Nothobranchius furzeri: one gene and its partner. The protein of the gene in region 1 interacts with the protein of each later gene in a biochemical or structural test. Links are inferred from orthologs where the notes say so. Each region holds a gene or a part of one and is shown in the gene's direction. Other genes may lie near its edges. The genes, in order: gabbr2 and kctd12.1.

Evidence for each region.
Region 2: the proteins of gabbr2 (region 1) and kctd12.1 form a complex in vitro, tested with the Homo sapiens proteins (2 studies listed by BioGRID). The link is inferred for Nothobranchius furzeri from reciprocal best matches to the Homo sapiens genes GABBR2 and KCTD12.

Annotation. Positions count from the first base shown.
Region 1 is NC_091759.1:14,401,995-14,405,820, forward strand, and holds part of gabbr2 (gamma-aminobutyric acid type B receptor subunit 2), read left to right. Parts: intron 1-479; coding exon 480-645; 3' UTR 646-3,826. UniProt on the Homo sapiens protein: Component of a heterodimeric G-protein coupled receptor for GABA, formed by GABBR1 and GABBR2. Within the heterodimeric GABA receptor, only GABBR1 seems to bind agonists, while GABBR2 mediates coupling to G proteins.
Region 2 is NC_091754.1:27,985,356-27,989,008, forward strand, and holds kctd12.1 (BTB/POZ domain-containing protein KCTD12.1), read left to right. Parts: upstream 1-1,226; 5' UTR 1,227-1,571; coding exon 1,572-2,432; 3' UTR 2,433-2,900; downstream 2,901-3,653. UniProt on the Homo sapiens protein: Auxiliary subunit of GABA-B receptors that determine the pharmacology and kinetics of the receptor response. Increases agonist potency and markedly alter the G-protein signaling of the receptors by accelerating onset and promoting desensitization.

The DNA of each region.
Region 1 (3,826 bases):
TTTGGACCTGTTCAGGTTTACGCAGACAATCTTTACATTTAGAATTGGCTTACAGATGTAAAATTAATGCAGTAAAATATAAAGCATTTCATTTAAATATCCATTCATTATTTTACAAGCACAGAGAGCCGCATCAGATGGATGGAAGAGCCGCATGCGGCTCCAGAGCCACGGTTGCCGACCCCCGATAGGGAGAGAATCTCATTATGTCACGTTGCTGCATCGATGCGGAATCACGCAAGGCTGAATCGTGATGCATCTTAGAATCGATCATTTTTCCCACCTCTAGTTGCAACCCACTATTGAATTTTCCTAAGTAAGTAGGAGTAAGCAGACTTCCCAACAGTATAAGACTTATTTTCAAGGTGCATTGCTACAACAAAGACATGGGTGATTTTTTTCAGATTTTGTAATGTCTAACTAACAACCACACACAATTGTAAGATCTAACAATTTTCCTTCCATTTCTTTATTTGCAGCATACAGCGTCGACTGTCTTTGCAGCTGCCCATTCTGCACCATGCATACCTACCTTCCATAGGTGGGGTTGATGCCAGCTGCACCAGCCCGAATGGAAGCCCAGGTTCCAGCCCAAGGCACAGACACATGCCCCCCTCCTACCGAGTAATGGTCTCTGGCCTGTGAGCTTCGGCATCCCTCCCACCTTGTGTTTTGCAGAGGAGACACAAATGGTTCTTTTTTTTCTACAACGAATAGACTGATATCGTCAGCGTCTGTGCGTATTTTGTCTTGGACCATATAAGACTTGGGGAGAACAGAATGAGGGGGGACCAAGTTTCACTCATTATACCTCTGCACCCCCAGTCTCTTGAGAACTGAGTGTCGGTCCTTAAAAACGTTTGTGATTAACATCCCTTTGGCCATCTTCCCCTCAATCTAGGCCTATACACGTATGCACAGTCAGACACAGACAACACAGATACAAATGCACAAACACAATGACAGTCCAACAGCTGCGGTGGACCAGCTCTAATCTCATGTGTAGCCTTATCTGCTTCAGAGGGGATTATTTGTTTCTGTCAAATTTTTTTATCTGTTGTATGTACTGTATGTGCTTGCAGCTACATCTGAGCATGTCATCGAACTTGAGCATTTTAGTGCTTCAGAGATTGGATATTAGTTAAAGAACAAGAAATGTGCAAGATCCTACAAAACAGAAAGACACCACCCCCTTTCCAACCCTGTGCAGACATGTAAATATCATCGTTTCCAACATTGATGTACTGTAAAATGTGTATATGCTGTGAATGGATGATTAAAGGGGTTTTTAAGTTTGAACTGTGTAACAGAAGCAAGTAGATATGAACATCTCCATTGAAAACCTACAAAACAAAGTCTCCTATACATCAGAGGAATACCAAATACATTTGTTAGCGTAACTATTATTATAGTAGGTTACAGGCATCAAACAGACGCATGTCATATTTGTCCAATCTGGACGTAGGTTCACAGTGCTCTTTTTTCTGTTTTGCTCATCATTCCGCTGCTAGTTTATGTTAGAGCCCCCTTGTCAGGCTTAGCTGAGGCTTCCATACTCTACGGCTGGTTTGATTTATCTTCAGAAGGCATGTCTTACAGAAAATGGATGCTATGTCTTTTAATAGGTCTCCTAGTATGTGTTAGAAAAATAGAACAAAAAATAAAACACCACAGGATTTATTTTACATGTTACATAATAGGAAATGCACAAATACAGATGTTCACTTAAAAGCCAAAAGAGCACCATATGATTTACAGCTAAGGATGCATGAATTCGTATTGAAACCCACGGGTTTATCCATATGGATTACTAAGATGTCATATCTAACTACCATTCAGAGCATTGGGGGTGTCATTGACCTAGAATTGGAAGAGTTTCTAAGGAATGAAGCAAATTCAGAAGAAACAAAACTAAACGAGGGACGGTGGAAAAAATGTAGGTTTACTGTGGGAAACCTGAATTTCCATCCAAAGTCATAAAGGCAGTAGACTCGTGGAGGTCTGGAGTTCTTAGCCCCAAGTGACTGTAGCTTCAGTTTCCATGCAGCGACGCCACAGCTGTTGGTCACGGAGGTGCACCACAAACACAGGGCTTTCTTTCACAGATCAGACCAAGTATCCAGAAAAAATCGTTCATGCTTAGCAACAGTGAACATACCTCGTTGCTACAGAAATGTAAACCCGATGAAGCGTCGCGTGTAACGTTTTTTCAAGAGTATCGTTGGTTTTCACAAAACCAGGAAGTGCAGAAGGAAAGCAAACTGGAACTCTGTTGGAGGGGGGTGAAATACTTTTTTATCGGCAGTGAGAAGGTTCGTTCTCAGCATATTGTTTCACCATTGGTGTCTTGGTTTTTATTTTTTAAGGCGTTTGTTAAACGCTGTGCCTGTTGTCTTATCTTGTAGCCTGCAGGACCCACACTACGTACTCTGGGTCAGGATTGCGCTTACCCAGCAACGTGCATTGGCCACACATCTGTAAAACTGTACAATGTGTCATAGATCAACTTAACGTGTCTGTGAACGGGACAGTGTGGGGCGTAGCTCCGCTTCCAGCCCTCGTTTGTGAACACTGGTGGAGCGGAAATACAAACAAGCAGAGACCCAACTGCTGTCAGACATATCGGGGTGACTCCCACTCCTCCCCTTCCAGGCCCTGCCACGCACAGGAGCAGGGAAACCCTGAGCACAGAATCTCCAAGGAGTCACAGTTCCTCCTGCACCTTTGCCAACCAGAGAATCACAGTTACAGAAGATGTGAGTGGGGAGACGATATCGAGAGGGTTGGTTCTTCCTTCAGGAGAAATAAAAAATAAAAAAAACAGCCAACCTGCACATTTTATATATGACATTATATGTGATTGTGTACAATTTGCTGATACCCTGATGATGGTGTCCATGTATGGAGTATTTGGTATTGGCTTTCTCAAGATGGCATGAAATAAAATGTATAACTCACAGAGTTACCTCTGTTTTTGCAACTGTTGTGACAAACCCACTCTGTTCCATCTTCTCATCTGCAATTTGGTTGATTCCCTTCTGAGTTTTCGTTAATCCTGCCGTCAACGCCAAGATTCTCAGTGAACAAACTCGACATATTCCTATCAAACTGGTTAAGCACCTGTTTACTGAGAGCAATAAAGCTAAAGCAGCAGCTACTGGTTAATTTTAATGAAACCACCCCTGTAATTTACAAAAATACTAAATTATTTTTTCTAAACCATCCAAAACCCCAAAAGCAGATCACGAGGTGTCATTTCGTTTTAATGCATGTATTCTGTTATCAATCATTTCAGTTGTTTTCATGGATAAAAATAATGTTCAAATGCCATTATTGTGGGTCAAGGGCTCGTACTATCCTGTAATGAAGAGCGCCATGCTGATGGTTTGTATTTGCCACAGGTCTGTTTACCTTTTCAGTTGGAAAACCGATGTGACATATATAATAATATCTTTGTATGTTTCATTGTCAGGTTCTCTGGAGAATACAACTTACAAATGCAGAAATATAATGATATGAAAAGTTTATTAAGTGGAGAAACACAAAGGTCCATTCTGTTACTGTTTTGTCATTTCTGACGTGGGCATCACGTTCAATCCCAACTTTAAAACGATGAACAAAACTTATATTAATGCAACTTGTTCAAGAGGGGCAATAACTTGTTTTCTTATTATGGAAAGAATAGAGAATTATATATATATATATATAAATAAATAAATATATGTATATGTAAAGATCCTTATGTACGTTCTCGTTTTTAGGAAACATTTCACAAAAATGTCACAAGGGTTCTTTAAAGTATTTTTTATTTACAGTATCTGTAACA
Region 2 (3,653 bases), on another chromosome or scaffold:
GGTGACACGTGCCATTAGAACATTAAAGAACATCCAACATAGATTTATTGTTATTTATTAATGATAATAAAAAGTTCAACAGAAGTAAATTTTTAGATATTTTTTATCATGTAAAAGCATTTAAAAGTTTAATATCTCTTCAGTGATGTGTTGTTTACATGATTCTTTCCTATCTTGACCTTTTATATTTTCATTACATGCTAAATCTGTCCACCCAGCATGTTTAGAGGTTCATACGTGACCTCTGTGATGAAATATGGGAGGTTTTTGTTCGTGCAATGGTTCAGCTTGATGAGGCCGCTAAGTTTCCAGACATAAGCTTCAATTGTTCTTTCAAGTGATTCAACTTAAAAAAGTATCTTGCTCGTCCGGGCCACATTGTCCCTTTAACCTTATAAAATTCTGAAAACATCTGCTTTTCTAAATGTGTGCTGCTTATAATGTGGTTTAGCTAATGTTTGGACGTTTTTAGTTTAGCCTCATAACTTTACAGATGTCAAGAAAAAGAAGCTGACACTTTGGTCAAAATCTTAAGAGATAAATAGTTGTGCCCAACACAAACACACAATAAGCAGGTCCAAATGTTCACACATGAGATGAGAAGCCATCATGAATGAATGAATGAATGAATGAATGAATGAAGAAATAAATAAACATCCGGAAACATCAGTGGGTTTCCAAACAGGGAAAAAAAAAAAACTAAAGCCAAAAAAAGGAAGATGCACAAAGTCAGATCTAATAGGGAAAATGTAGAAGTACAAACCCTTAAAGGAACTGGATTTCAGGAAATGATAATAAAACCAAACAAGAACAAGAATTAATAAATTTGAAATCCATGCGTCAAAACTAAACACACCAAACTCAGTTCCATGTTTCACTTCCTGCTCTAAAACGTGGAACAAAAAGTGATAATTTAATCATTCTCTAATCCTGCTGAATTTCTTAGAAGAAATGCTTGATTTCTATTTTTCATTTACCAATTCAAAGTGTCCAAAAATTCCAAGGTGCAGAAACTTTGACTAAACTCTGTTATGCTGCTGAATCCGGAGAGAGAGAGCGAGAGAGAGAGAGAGAGAGAGAGAGAATGAGAGAGAGAGAGAGAGAGAGAGAGAGAGAGAGAGAGAGAGAGAGAGAGAGAGAGAGAGAGAGAGATCATGGCTGCATTTCATTGGAGCTACTGTAGGTGTCACTCTCTCCATACATTCTAATGGTTCCTTCAAAGTAAAAGCATAGATTCTAATTGAACATCATTTATTTCACTATTTAAACCCTCAGGAGGAGGTGCTGCTTTAGAAAGACACCAGGCTGAGATGAGTCCCATATGGATGATACTTTTTTTTTTTGGGTGAAGCTGCCGGATAAGGCGCATGGCTCTGCTTTTCCGCCTTTTATGCGTAAAACCAAGAAAGCTGCACAAGACAGCAACTCAATAGTTAAATGATAATTTAACAGTCACCCCCTGCGTGCACGCGCACATCCGCACGTGTTAAACTCAGGCTTCATAAGCCAGCAGCTGGGACTGGCACCTCAGTGTTTTCCTCTGATCCTGTCAGCGCAGTAGCTCGGAGAAGATGGCACTGGCAGATGCAGAGCGCGGGGGGTCCTGCTGCGGGGACCCCGGCTCCCTGTTCTCAGAGATCATCGAGCTGAACGTCGGGGGACAGGTTTATGTGACCAGACACAAGACTCTGATCGCCGTCCCGGACTCGCTCCTGTGGAACATGTTCAGTAAGAAGTCCCCCAAGGAGCTGGCGAGGGACAGCAAGGGGCGCTTCTTCTTGGACAGGGACGGCTTCTTGTTCCGCTACATCCTCGATTATCTCCGTGATCTGAACTTGGTCCTGCCGGACTACTTCCCGGAGAAAAGTCGGCTACAGAGGGAGGCGGACTTTTTCTTGCTGCGGGACCTCGCCAAACGCCTCAACCCGCGGGTGAGTAAGGACAACTCGATCAGTGAGGAGATCAGCCAGAGCGACACGGAGGAGGGCGCGCAGCAGTCCTTCGGTGGAACCGACACTTTACGCACTATGTCCGTCACCGGGGCCATGCGCTCCCCGTCCCTGGATTCCAGACGCTCCGGCTACATCACGATAGGATACCGCGGCTCCTACACAATTGGCAGAGACATCCAAACCGACGCCAAATTCAGGAGAGTCGCGCGCATCACCGTCTGCGGGAAGACTTCTCTGGCCAAAGAGGTGTTCGGGGAGACGCTGAATGAGAGCAGGGATCCGGACAGGCCCCCGGAGAGATACACGTCCCGCTACTATCTGAAGTATAATTTTCTAGAGCAGGCGTTTGACAAACTGACAGAGGCGGGTTTCCACATGGTGGCCTGCAGCTCCACCGGCACCTGCGCCTACACCAGCAACGACCCGACCGAGGACAAAATCTGGACAAGCTACACCGAATATGTATTCTGTCGGGAATAGTACTCATCTGGCTCGTCCGTGCCGCTCTCCGTGTAAATATGTGTCATAATTTAGAGGGGAAGGTCTTTAAAGTGGTGACGTTTAGTAAAGGCGAAAAACGCAAAACGCGCCAAAAACAGATTTTACGCATCGGATTCTAAGCAGAATAAGCGGTGCAGCTTTGAGGTACAAAGAGAGCACAGCATCATCCAACCCGACACTTATCCAAAGCTCTATATTGCATAATAAACTATCATCTTGATCATCATGTCAATGTTTCAGTCATATCTGACTCAGCTGTGAGAGCTGAGCAGAGACCAGGAGCAGAAGCAGCCATTAGTATTCAGTGTGACTTCGAGACTCACTTGTTTGGCCAAGTTTTGTAAGATCTTCTATCGGTTTGATCGCTGCAGAGATTGTAAATGTGCGTGGAGTGTTCCTTGTGTTTGTTATTAAGTGTTCAGACTAAATAAAAACAATCTTCTACTCTTTTATTCTCAGCTCTTTGCCAAATCATCTGCCCCCTTCTGCAGCCTTTACTCCATGGGGGGATGAAAGCCCAGAAATCTTCCTCCTGCATGGCACTAAAGCAACCAAACAAAAACTGAAAACCTTTTCTGGCTCCATCAACTCCAGAAAGGTTCTGTTTAATCACAGCTGCACGTGAGTTTAGTTACAGCTGCAGCAGAAGGCTCACTTTGACACACAAATCCAGCAACGTGGATGCAAATATTGCAGCTGTGCACACATGATGTCATTATCATTTCAAGTGTAAATAATGAAAGGGTCCAGCTGCACACAAAAAGGAGGCTGCAGTCTGCCAGGGACTGGATGAATGGAAAATCGATGACGGGCCAGCGTGCAGTCAGCTTCACCCAAAATGGAAAACAGGGTTCAGACCACCGCCCACCCACGCCCTTTTTGGTTTGACTCAAACACTCAGCTTGCTTTAACACATTGCAGAAACTTTTGCAGCTTGGTAGAAAATTATAATTCTTGTGTGAATGTGAGCTCAAACTCAACCTGTTTCTGGTTATTATCTGCATAGGCATTTTCTTTTAGATGCTGTGGAAATGTCACATCATGGAGGCACACAGGTGTAAAAATAAAGATGGACCAGTCCCATTTTATCTGTCTTGGCTCCTGTGAGCTGACATAAACTGCTGATAAACTCCACAGAAAGACTCAGTTTGAATAAGTAAGTAAGTAAGTAAGTAAGTAAGTAAGTAAGTAAGTAAGTAA